Linked DNA regions of Lonchura striata. The protein of the gene in region 1 purifies or fractionates together with the protein of each later gene. This does not show direct contact. Links are inferred from orthologs where the notes say so. Each region holds a gene or a part of one and is shown in the gene's direction. Other genes may lie near its edges. The genes, in order: PTPN3, VANGL2 and VANGL1.

What was found.
Region 2: the proteins of PTPN3 (region 1) and VANGL2 purify together in Homo sapiens (affinity purification with mass spectrometry; 3 studies listed by BioGRID and IntAct, with this or other methods). This does not show direct contact. The link is inferred for Lonchura striata from reciprocal best matches to the Homo sapiens genes PTPN3 and VANGL2.
Region 3: the proteins of PTPN3 (region 1) and VANGL1 purify together in Homo sapiens (affinity purification with mass spectrometry; 4 studies listed by BioGRID and IntAct, with this or other methods). This does not show direct contact. The link is inferred for Lonchura striata from reciprocal best matches to the Homo sapiens genes PTPN3 and VANGL1.

What each region holds. Positions count from the first base shown.
Region 1 is NC_134603.1:65,421,993-65,425,735, forward strand, and holds the start of PTPN3 (tyrosine-protein phosphatase non-receptor type 3), read left to right. Parts: upstream 1-824; 5' UTR 825-905; intron 906-3,743.
Region 2 is NC_134635.1:3,628,978-3,632,720, forward strand, and holds the start of VANGL2 (vang-like protein 2), read left to right. Parts: upstream 1-864; 5' UTR 865-955; intron 956-3,743. UniProt on the Homo sapiens protein: Involved in the control of early morphogenesis and patterning of both axial midline structures and the development of neural plate. Plays a role in the regulation of planar cell polarity, particularly in the orientation of stereociliary bundles in the cochlea.
Region 3 is NC_134604.1:26,912,134-26,915,876, forward strand, and holds the start of VANGL1 (vang-like protein 1), read left to right. Parts: upstream 1-932; 5' UTR 933-1,043; intron 1,044-3,743.

The sequences.
Region 1 (3,743 bases):
GGTGTAGAGTTGCCCTGACACAGTTACTTCGCTCGCAGAGCCTGAGCCGATGCCTCGGGCACGGCGGTGCAGCGCAGAGCCCGGCGGGGAGCGGGGACGCGAGGGAAGCAGGAGGCTCCACACGCATCCCCACACCTTGGCCCGCTCGCCGCGCCCCGCCGGCGGCCAGACCTGCTCTCCTCCGGCGGGGAGAGGCGATCGGGCGGGCTGTGCCACCCGCTGCGGGCTGTGGCGACACTTCGCACCTCCTGTGCCGGCCCCGCTCTGCCCCAGGCGATGGCACGAGGGACACGCGGTTCCTCGTCGCCTGGCAGGGTCCGCCAGCCGGCGGTGTGCCCAGCTGGTGTCAGCCTCTGGAGCCGGCCCCCAGAGCTGCTTGTGCCGCGCTGCCAGCGGGCACAGCCGGGAGGAGCTGCGGGCAGGGAGGGACCCGGGCGGGACCGCGGCCGCCACGGCCGTGCGGAACAGGTGACGGCGGGGCAGTCCCCGCCAGGGCTGCCGCGGGGCGAGGGAAGGAGGCGAGGGAACAGCTCCAGCCCCGCCATCCGCGGTGACCCCGCTCCCGTTCCCCCTGCGGAAGGGCGGAAAGCGCCGAAGGGCTTCCAGCGGAGCCGGGCTTGGGCAGCGGCGGGGCGGGCCGGGAGCTGGGCCGGGCCCGGCCGCTCGCTCCCTCCGCTAGGGGGCGGGCGCGGGCGGCGGGCGCTCCTCGGCGCCCCGCCCCGCCCCGCCCTGCCCGCCCAGCCCAGGAGCCGGAGCCGGAGCCGGCGGCGGGAGCGGCTCCGCGGTGCCCGCTCCGCACCTGCTCTCCTCGGTCCGCACGGTGGCGGCGGCCGCGACGGCCGTGACGGCCTTCTGCGCCCCCTGGGGCAGCGGGGTGGCGGCGGCGGCGCGGGGCGGCGCGGCAGGTACCGGGCGAGGCGGCGGGAGCGGCGCGGGGCGCGGGGAAAGTTGGCGCCGCCGGGGCGCCTCCGGGAGGCGGGGGCGGCGGTGCCGCCGGGGCCGCCCCCGCGCCTCCTCCTCTTTCTCCTCCTCCTCCTCCTCCTGCACCTCGGCGGGGCGGTGAGTGCCCGGCCGGGCGGCTGGCCCCGCGCCGGTGCTTGGCTGTCCGCCGGCCCCGCGGGAGAGCGGGGGCGAGCGCTGCTCCCGGCGGCTGGCGCAGGGGAAAGCGAGCGGGAAGGTGCGCGGCCGTGCCGGGCTGGGTGTCAGCTCCCCCCCGACCGAGCCGTGCCGAGCCGAGCCGTGCCCTCGGGGGGCGGCGCTGCTCCGCTCCGCGCGTCCCTCCGTTTTCTGTTCCGCTCCGCGCCTTGTGTGTCTAGCACCGGCCACCGGAGGAGGGCACGGGGAGCGTCCCGTCCCGTCCCCGGGCTTTCCCCCCGCTCGCCTTTGCTGCCTGTTAATATAGGGCGAGTTTGGCTTCTTCTCTATTCCCGGCTTTTTTCCCCCACATCGTTGGCGGAGCACCCGTTTTCAGAGTATTCTCGAGCCCCGAGTGCCTCGGGCGTGTTTAGGAGAGAGACGAGCGCTGCGGGCGCAGAGCAGCCCTGCCCGTGCCCCCGACCGGACGGGTCTGCCGGGGGATAAGAATCCCAAAGCCCGGAGATACAGTACCACGACTAGTTAGCAGCAGCTGCCCCACCACAAAGGCTGCCGGTGCTCCACAGCGGTTACTTTTCAGCGTTTTGGGTGCTGACTTGCCCTGTGGAGATACAAAAATATCCAATATATCTAAGAAATATATAATATATCCATGTATGTCAAGTGTGACGACTATTTGCCTCATTGGTGTTACGGAACAGATGAAACAGCAGTAAAATTGGATACTTCTTTTAATATAGAATTCTCATTCATCTTGCAGCACTTCTTGTTTCCTCTCTTGAATGAACTTATCCAAAGTAATTAGCCAGTCTCTCCTTCTGTTGCTCCTTGCTTTCCTCTCTTTCAAAGATACAGTTGGGATTTTTTTGTCCTCCCTGCTAGGATGATCGCTTCCCTTGTGGTGCTCTTCAGCCTATCACAAATTGCTACTGCTCTAATACCTATGTAACAGAAAGCAGAACAAGTTAGTTCTTTAATGCTATTGAATATTGGTACTGCTACTCTGTTAGTCACAAACTGTCTTTCTAGTAGAAATACATATATTACTGAAGTATTAATTTTGCAGAGCATTGCATTGAAGGATTATTTATAAAATAATGAATGTAGATGTGTGGAATACTTACTCAGCTTTGGAGGGCAGCTGCACTCTCACTTGTTTAGAAACAAAATTTTTCTGAAACTAGTTGTACAAGAAGCAAGTTGTCCCTATTACCTGAGTGGGTTTGATCATAAGGGAAACAGTCAACAAACAGAACTGTGGGGAAGAAGAGTCTCCTCAGTCACCTCAGTTACTTATCTAAAAAGGCTTGCTTGCCAGTGCAACACAAATGCTAAATTTTTATGATGGTGATATTCTCTGGTATTGTCCTGTGGCAAAAATGTCTTGATAGGTTGGTGACAAATACTTAATACATTTTTGTTCTCTAGTTCATAAGAAAAAATGTAATACTCCACATAATTCTAAGTACACTTAATAGAACAGCCCTCATTTGAAGGACCAACTTGTGATGATAAGATCAATTTTGTTTCATTAAGCACCCTAATATTGCTGGCAGTGGATTCTTGGAAGAATTCTTTAACACTTGTCATCTCTCTCTCTGACTTAATAAGCATTTCTAATCCTTCCACATCAACTTTTTACGTATTCTAAGATGGGGACAGTTCATTATTTTAAGACATAAATTTAAGTAATATCACAGTTACATGCTGTACTTTGCAATACTTAACTCTCCACCTTCATGCTTTCAAAATATTTTCAGTACAAATTAAGATGCTGATAAAACTATTAAGTGATATGCTATTAAATTGCAAAGCTCCATAACTGCTTCTTAATTCATCATTTTGTATTATTGGTGTAATATACTTAAAGCAGAAGCAACAGAAAAGTAGTAATAAAAAAGCTAGCGGTAGTATAATTTTCTTCTTGAAGATGAAGATTATCTTGATTATCTTCTATGTTCATGAGTTACCATGTAATAAAGCATGTTTTCATCCAATCCAGGAGTCTAAAATATCAGCTGATTTCTAAAGATCTTGGGTGGACTGTTTTTTTAGTAGTCAGTATTATAGCAGAGACAGTTGTGCATAGTTTTCTAAGCTTGACCTACTTTTTACACTGATGGGTAAATGATAGCTTTACATAGGCACTGAAGGAGTAATCTTACATAGGTATAACACCGAAAGTCTTATGCACAGAAGTCATTAATGTTAAAATTCTCCAAGGTGGACTAAATACCGGTACAGTGAGCAGTTCTTCTGTTTTGTCACTTCATTCACAAATAATATTTGCCATGCTGGCATCTATGCATAGGGGTATTTGTTCATTAAAACTCAACCAGTTAAAAGTAAAGTGTAGTTAAGTGGCGATGAGGACCACAGTTACCAATCTCTTTGTTCTAAATGTGATAAATGTTAATTGTTAGTTTTATAGAAGCCTTGTGGTGTGGGTTTGATTTTAATTGTTGGGTTTCTTTTTCTTTGTTTGTTTGTTTGACTGAGAAACACATTCTCTAAGCTTCATGACTATGAACTTGAGAATTGATTTCTGTCAGGGGCAACACTGCTCATCTAGTGAAAAGTTTGCAAGGAAAATGAGAGAGCAACATTTTTCAGTTGCTTTCCCAAAACTACAGCTTTGAGTATATTAA
Region 2 (3,743 bases), on another chromosome or scaffold:
CCCCCCGTGTGTCCCCAGAGACCTCTTCTGGCTCGAGGGGTGCTGCTGGCCCTCAGCGCCCCCCAAAAACTCCCTCCCACCGCCCTGGCTCTCCTGCGGGCCGGGGGTCCCCCCCATTTGCGCAGGGATGGGGCTGGGGTCTTCCAGCCGCTCCCACGCACCCCGGAACCGCTGGGGCTGGGGGTGACCCCAAACCCGGGGGGTTCGGCCAGACCCCCCCCCCAGGACACCCCAAACCCGGCCGGGTGCAGGACCCGGACCCCATCTTATTTCGGGGGGGTTTATGGGGTCCAGAATCCTTCCCCACACCCCAAAACAAGGTGGGAGCAGCTGGGCTGTGCCCCGCCCCCCTGGGCTGAGACCCCCTGGGGGCAATTTTGGGGGGCTGAGACCCCCTGGGGGCAATTTTGGGGGGCTGAGAACCCTTTGTGGTCCCGAGACCTTTTGGGAGCCCATGCGGGGCCGGGGGGGGGGACACGAGGTGGGGCTCAACCCTCACTGCCCCCCCCCCAAAAAAACCCCAAAAAAACCGGGGGATTCTTCCCCAAAAAACGCCCCGTGCGCCCAAAAATGGGGGGGCTCTCCTCAAAAAGCGCCCCCTCCCCCAAAAAAGCGCATCCTCACCCCGAATCCCCCCGGCTGGGGGGGGGTCTCTGGCTGTCGGGGGGGGGGTCCGCGGGGTTCGGGGGTCCCCGGGTGTCCCCCCGCCCCAAACAATGGCCCCGCGGCGGCGCCGGGAGCGCGCAGCGCAGACAATGGGCGGGAGCGGCGGGGCCGGGGCCGGGCTCGGGGGGGTCCGGGGGAGCCGGGCTTTCCTCCGCCTCCTCCTCCTCTTCCTCCTCCTCCTCCTCCTCCTCCTCCTCCTCCTCCTCCTCCTCCTCCGCCGCCGCCGCCGCCGCCGCCGCCGCCGGGGTTTCGGTGCGGGGGGGACGCGCACAAAGGTGCGGCGGCGATGGTGAGTGCGGGGGCACCGGGGGGCTGGGGCCGCTGCCGGGGCGATCCCGGGATGCCGAACCGGCCCCGGGGCCGCGCCGGGGCCGCGCCGGGCGCGCTCCCTGCGGGAAGGGCCCCGGCACCGCCGCTCTGCCCGGGCCGGCGGCGGCTGCGGGAGCCCCGAGCCCGGCGCTGGGCCGGGGGTCCCGGCTGGGGAGGGGGCGGTGGGACCCCCGGGACCCCCCCCCGGCACCTCCCCGGGACCCCGAGGGGCTGCGGGGCTCCGCCGGAGCCTCCTCGGGGCGCGATGCGACCCCCGGGACCCCCGAATCCCCCCCGGCGGCGGCGGCGGCGGCCTCGGAGCGCTTTGAGCCCATCCCGGGGCACCTGCGGGGTGTCCCCCGGTGTCCCCGGCACCCTCGGGATGTCCCCGGGGTGTCCCCCGGTGTCCCCGGCACCCTCGGGATGTCCCCAGGGTGTCCCCCGGTGTCCCCGGCACCCTCGGGGTGTGCCCGGGGTGTTCCCCGGTGTCCCCGGCACCCTCGGGATGTGTCCGGGGTGTTCCCCGGTGTCCCCGGCACCCTCGGGATGTGTCCGGGGTGTTCCCCGGTGTCCCCGGCACCCTCGGGATGTGTCCGGGGTGTTCCCCGGTGTCCCCGGCACCCTCGGGATGTCCCTGGGGTGTCTCCGCGGTGTCCCCGGTGTTCCCGTCCCCATCAGGGTGTCCCCGGTGTCCCCACTGTGTCCCCCCCGTCACCCTCAGGGTGTCCCCGGTGTCCCCCGCGCTGTCCCCGCTGTCCCCATCCCCTCGCCGGTGTCCGGGCGCGGCGGGGCCGTCCCGGGGGTCCCTGGGGCGGGGTGTCCCCCGTGTCCCCGTGTCCCCCGTGTCCCGTGTCCCGTGTCCCGTGTCCCCCTCTCTCCCCGTGTCCCCGCTGTCCCCGTGTCCCCCTCTCTCCCCGTGTCCCGTGTCCCGTGTCCCCCTCTCTCCCCGTGTCCCCCCATGTCCCCCGTGTCCCCGCTGTCCCCGTGTCCCCGTGTCCCGTGTCCCGTGTCCCCGTGTCCCGTGTCCCGTGTCCCCGTGTCCCGTGTCCCCCCCGTGCCCCGTGTCCCGTGTCCCCGTGTCCCGTGTCCCGTGTCCCCGTGTCCCGTGTCCCCCCCGTGCCCCGTGTCCCGTGTCCCCGTGTCCCGTGTCCCATGTCCCCCGTGTCCCGTGTCCCCCTCTCTCCCGGTGCCCCCCGGCCCTGCCCGGTGCCCGGGGGTCCGTGGGCCGGGCGCGCCCGGTGCCCCCGGCTCCGGGACAGCCCGGGCCGGATCCCGAGCCGGTTCCTGGATCCCGAGCCGGTTCCTGGATCCCGAGCCGGTTCCTGGATCCCGAGCCGGTTCCTGGATCCCGAGCCGGTTCCTGGATCCCGAGCCGGTTCCTGGATCCCGAGCCGGTTCCTGGCGGAGCCGCCGGGAGTTCCCGGGAGGAGCCCGGCCTGGGATGATTTTTTTCCTTTGGGATCCTTTTCCCCCGCCGCGGGCGGAGGTGAAAACGCAACAGAACAACAAAAAGAAATCAAAACACACGCACACACACAAAAAAGGAGATTTGGGAATAATTCGGATCTCCTGGAAAAGAAGATTTTCTCCATCCCAGAAATCCGAGGATGGGGCTGGGAGTCAGACGGGATCCCGAGGATTTTCCAGGGGCTTTGTGAAGCTGGGATGATTTAATTAATGAACAATCAACAATTAACAGGCGGCGGCCGGAGAGGGGGACCTGGGGGCGGCCGCTCCGGGGTGAGGTCACCCCGTGTCCCCCGCCCGGAATTCCAGAGGGGCCGGGGACATCCCAGCCTTGGGAATGATCCCATGGGAAGTTCCTTGTTTTCCCCGGCTGCCGGCAGACAATGGGGCCCGAGGGATCCGGCTTCATTCGGGATTTGGGATCGTTTTTCCAAGCGGAGCTTTTGTGGATTTATTGTCCGGCCCGGGATGCTCGGGAAGAAGATCCTGGGAAGGGATTTGGGAATTCCCGGCTCGGAATTCCGGCCAGCACCGCCCCAAATCCAAGGAGTTCCCTGCGGATCCCGGGACTGGATGAAAACATCGGCAGCGTTCCTCGATCCCGCCCGGATCCCGTCCCGGCCGCTTCTCCGGGATCCTGGACGTGGATATTGGATTGGGAGCATCCCAAAGGATCGGCAGCTGCTGGAGAAGAGTTCTCACGGATCCACAGCCCCAGTCCTGGGCGAGCCGGGTGTCCTTTCGGGGCAGGAATTGGGGTTTTGGGGTTTCTCCTGGAGAAAACATCGGAATTCCGAGCGAGGACGTGGATTTCTGGGATCGTCCTTCCCAAATCCTGTGGAGCCACCTGGAAGCGGCTTTGGGGCGTCCTTGGGATTGTTGGAAGGGACGGAGAGCTTGGATTTGGGATTTCTCCAGGGAATCCTGAGCGCTCCCCAGGAATTTGGGATGGGGGAATTTAGAGATGTGCGGTGGGAATTCCAGAATCCCCAGGAATTTTTTTGCTGGGAATTTGGGATTCCAGCTCTGGAATTCGGTTTTCCAGGTTTGGATCCTCATGGAAAAAGGGGCTGGGAAGGGAAGTGGGAAATTCCATGGATGGGAACGGGGCTGGAGCCGCTGGAAAAGGGAACGGAGGATCCTGAGGGACCTGGGGGGTGATCCCAGAGAAAAGTGGGATCAGGGGGATTTGGGATCTGATTCCAGGGAACGGGGTCCAGACAAGAGGGAACAGCCTCGAGCTGTGCCAGGGTGGGAAATTCGGGATGATTTTTCCATGAGAAAAGGGCTGGGAAGCGCCG
Region 3 (3,743 bases), on another chromosome or scaffold:
ACACTATCTAATAGGAATAACTTCAGCTTCTTCATTTGTTCCATTTGTGGACAGGGTCATTCCTGAGCAGTTGAAAGTGCAGGACTGGAATCTGGGAGGTCTAGATTTTCTTCATACATTCCAAGTTGCTAGCCCATTGTATGTCCCGAAAACATAAATATTTTTAAAGGGTAAGACAAACCAAAGGTGAAATGAAATAGGAGCAACATTTACATGTAGAAAAACTGGCCTGTGCTTACATGGGACTCTCCTGTTTCTTTCCCACCTGCCCAGAGCAAGTGGTGCCAGGAATTTGGTGCCCAAGGCAAACTTCAGGCAAACAAGGCCCTTCTCCCTGGGCGGCAGGAGGTGCTTCCTCATGGCAGTCCTCTTGTGACCAGGGGCAAAGGGCGCTGCGGCTGCAGCCTTTGGGTGGAGGAGCAGACCAAGCCGTCCCAAAAGCCAGGCATTAGAGTGCCTGGCAATACACTTAGCCTCGGAGGAAACCCAAGGCCACCGTAACCTGGGATGGGATAGCTCCAAGGGACTGAGTATCTTTCTCTTGGAGGAGAAGGTGACGGCACGGGACAGACGAGGAGCATGGCTGGGTGGAGGAGAGCTGCGGAGCCTTGGAAGAGGTGCGGGGCTCATGGGCTGGAGCAAGGCGGGCGGCGATGGAGAAAGCGGCAGGAGATGTGAAGGAGCGTGTGTACGCCCGAGGTGCAGAGGAGGCTGAACTACGGGGAGAGGTCCAAGCGTCAAATCACGCCTGGGGGGCTGAGTGGCGGGTCCCGCCGCACACCCCCCAGGTGCGCCGCAACCCCGGCTCCGGGGGCATTTAGGCGCCGGAGTCGCAGCGACGGCAGCGGCCTCCCGGGCCGGCGAGCCTCGCCCGTGGGCGGTGGCTCCGGCGGGGGAGGGACGGGTGCGGGGCGGTGCCGGGCACAGGAAGCGGAAAGCGGCAGCAGCGACGGCGGCCGCCGCCGGGGAAGGTGGCGGGGAGCGGCGCGGCGGCGGAGGTCGGGTGGGTGCCGGCGGCAGCATGGGACGGCCGCGGGAGGGAGGTGAGTCCGTCCGTCTGCCCGTCTGTCCGTGCGGGGGGCGATGCCGCTGCCCCGCCACGCCCTCCCGCCGCCGGGACCCCGGTGCCGGGGCGGCGGGAGCGGCAGGGTGGCAGCCTCCGGCTGCCGTGCCCGGCCGGGCGGTGCGAGCCCGCCGCGTCCCGCCGCCCTGCCCGGCGCTTTCCGGGCTGCGCGCTGGTTCCTGTGCCTGGGCGGGGGCCTCCCTCCTGCCCGCCGTGAGGCTGCTGGGGCTGCGGGTCTACGATCTCGGCATCCCGGTGCCGGCACGCTCGGTGCCGGCAGGGCCGCGGGCGCAGCCCCGCACGGCGAGCAGCGCTCTGCTGCCGAGCCTCGCCTTGCAAGGAGCCCGTGCGCTGTTGGTGCGAGAGGCTCCGCGCTGGTGTGAGCGCTCTGCTGGTGGTGCCTTGCTGCCCACGCCGTGTAAAACAGACTGCTCTGTGTTTGGGCTCATCCCGCTGGGCAGCACGGGACGGGGAGCAGAAGTGACGGGAAGGAGAGCCGCTGCGAAATAGCGCGGGGGGGTTGGGTTTTTGATTCAGAAGGTTGTCAGGGTGGTTAACTAACTCTCATGCCGAGGGTTGAACTCTTTGAATTGCAATCAGTGAAAGCATGAGTGACTTGATGGCAGCGTTTTCGATCTGAGGAGGCAGGTGGGCGATTCTGTGACTGTTTAGAGCAGTGGGACTTTTTTGACCCTGGATTTGTCAGTAATGAACTGCCCACAAGATCTGTGCGGCTATAAAGAGTTAAGAAGTGGAGTCACGCTGGCTGGAAGTGCAAATTAGGATGTTACGAAGTATGTTCTGTGATATCATTGCCTGTGAGCTCAGCCTGACTTCGAGGAGGAGAGTTGTGGAGAAGGTGCTTCAGCAGTGCTTTGCTACCTTTGAAAAGCTTCGTTTTGACCATGCTTGGCTCTTTTCCCCCACTGGGGTTTGGCTATTTAGCTGGCCACAGCTTTGAGGCTAATGTTGGCTCTGTGATCACAACACAGAGTTGTTAATTTTGAAAAATAAATATGAATGGTGTCTTGTAGAAAGCCTCTTTTAAAAATGCTCCCTGTAGCTCGAATTCTGGAATAATCCCTGGCTGTACTGGAACCAGTCAGGCAAATATCTAACTGCTCCCAGCCACTCACCAGCAGCTCACAGTGGTTGCTTCTGACCTTTTGGTTTTGGTTAGTAGTGGCAGTTGTTCCTGATGGCTGCTGTCTCATGGATATGCGCATCTGGAGAGGGCTTCCTGTCATTGTGAGACTGGGATGCAGTACTAGGGCAACACCACCGAATGACTGCAGTTATTGTACTAGCAGAACTGCATGTTGTGTTGTTGTAGCTTGCCTTCCTTACCCCCTCACCTCTTGCAACCAAAGCAAAGGATGGTATCAGAAACGTGACTTTGCTGCTGCAGGGTTTGTGCTGCTGTGTGGGGACCTGAGGAGCAGACCTGAGTGGGGAGCTGTGATGTCCAGTTCTGCTGGTGGGAAACAGTAAGCTCATGTTTCTCCACGGTACGGTCTGGTACTGTTCGCTTGGAAGAAGAAAATGAACCCGTGTAAAAACTACTTTAGTACTTCTTTTAATTTCTCATTAGCCTGTATGTCAGAATTTCCTGACTTGGGTCAAATTAAAAATCAATGGCTATTTTCTCAGGGGTCAACACCTTTGCCCTCTCTCCTTGCAAGGCCAGAATGGCATTGAACTTGTAAAGATTTGAGCATGAGGGTGATATAGAGAGACTCCATTCTGTAGAGTCCCACTGTGCTGTGTCCTGGGGATTTTCTCAGGGTCTGTAGACTTCTTTTTTGTTCTAAATTTAAATGGAAAATGCTGGCAGATATGAAGTGTCCTAAAGGCGGGGGTGCTCTTTCAGTAGAGAAACCTTTTGCAGTTCATACCTTTTAATGCTAACTCAGTATCTAAGTGCTATGGCTAAAAGCAAATATTGAAAATGAGGTACAGGTGCTGCCTGCTGGGATAGGCAGTCAGTGGCATCTTGTGAGACACTTTTCCCCATTTGTTTTGTTTTAATGTCAATATGGAAAACTGTATTCCTGTGCACAGTCCCAGGTGCTCTGGTGTCCTGAGGTTGAGGACATGCCTTATGTCATGTTGCATGGCTCTGGAGTTAAGAGGAGCACTGGAAGGTCTTACAGCACAGAACAGACCCATGAGTGAGGAAGGACAAGCTTTCACTAGTCTGAGAGCATGGCACTGAGGTGTAGTTTGCATGATAGTCTCAAGTGCTCATTGTGCTTCAGAAACTTGGACAGCACAGGTGTGGCTCTTGGAGTGGGCAAAGGACATCCCTCCAGGGAAGTGCTTCACAGAGAGAGCTTCCAGCTGTGCAACAGGGACAAGAGGCTGGGGGTTACTGCTTGGAAGCTCTGCTCACTTGAGTGGTGGTTTTGCCTGGGTATTTCTCTTGTCAGTTGCTGTTGCATGTTCTGATTAAACAGTGAATTGCTTCAATAAACACAAGTAGGTTTTTTTTCTGAAATATCCATGTTGTGGACTAATGGTTTTCAGTTTTTGGGCTGGAAATTCCAGGGGATCTGTGAAATCTTTCTGAGGACCTTCTGAGAAGCAAAAGAGAACCTATTGCTAGAGAGCTTGTATTTGCTGACTACTAAATGGGTTTTTTTAGAATGAGTGGCTTGCAAATCAAGAGCCTCCACCATAG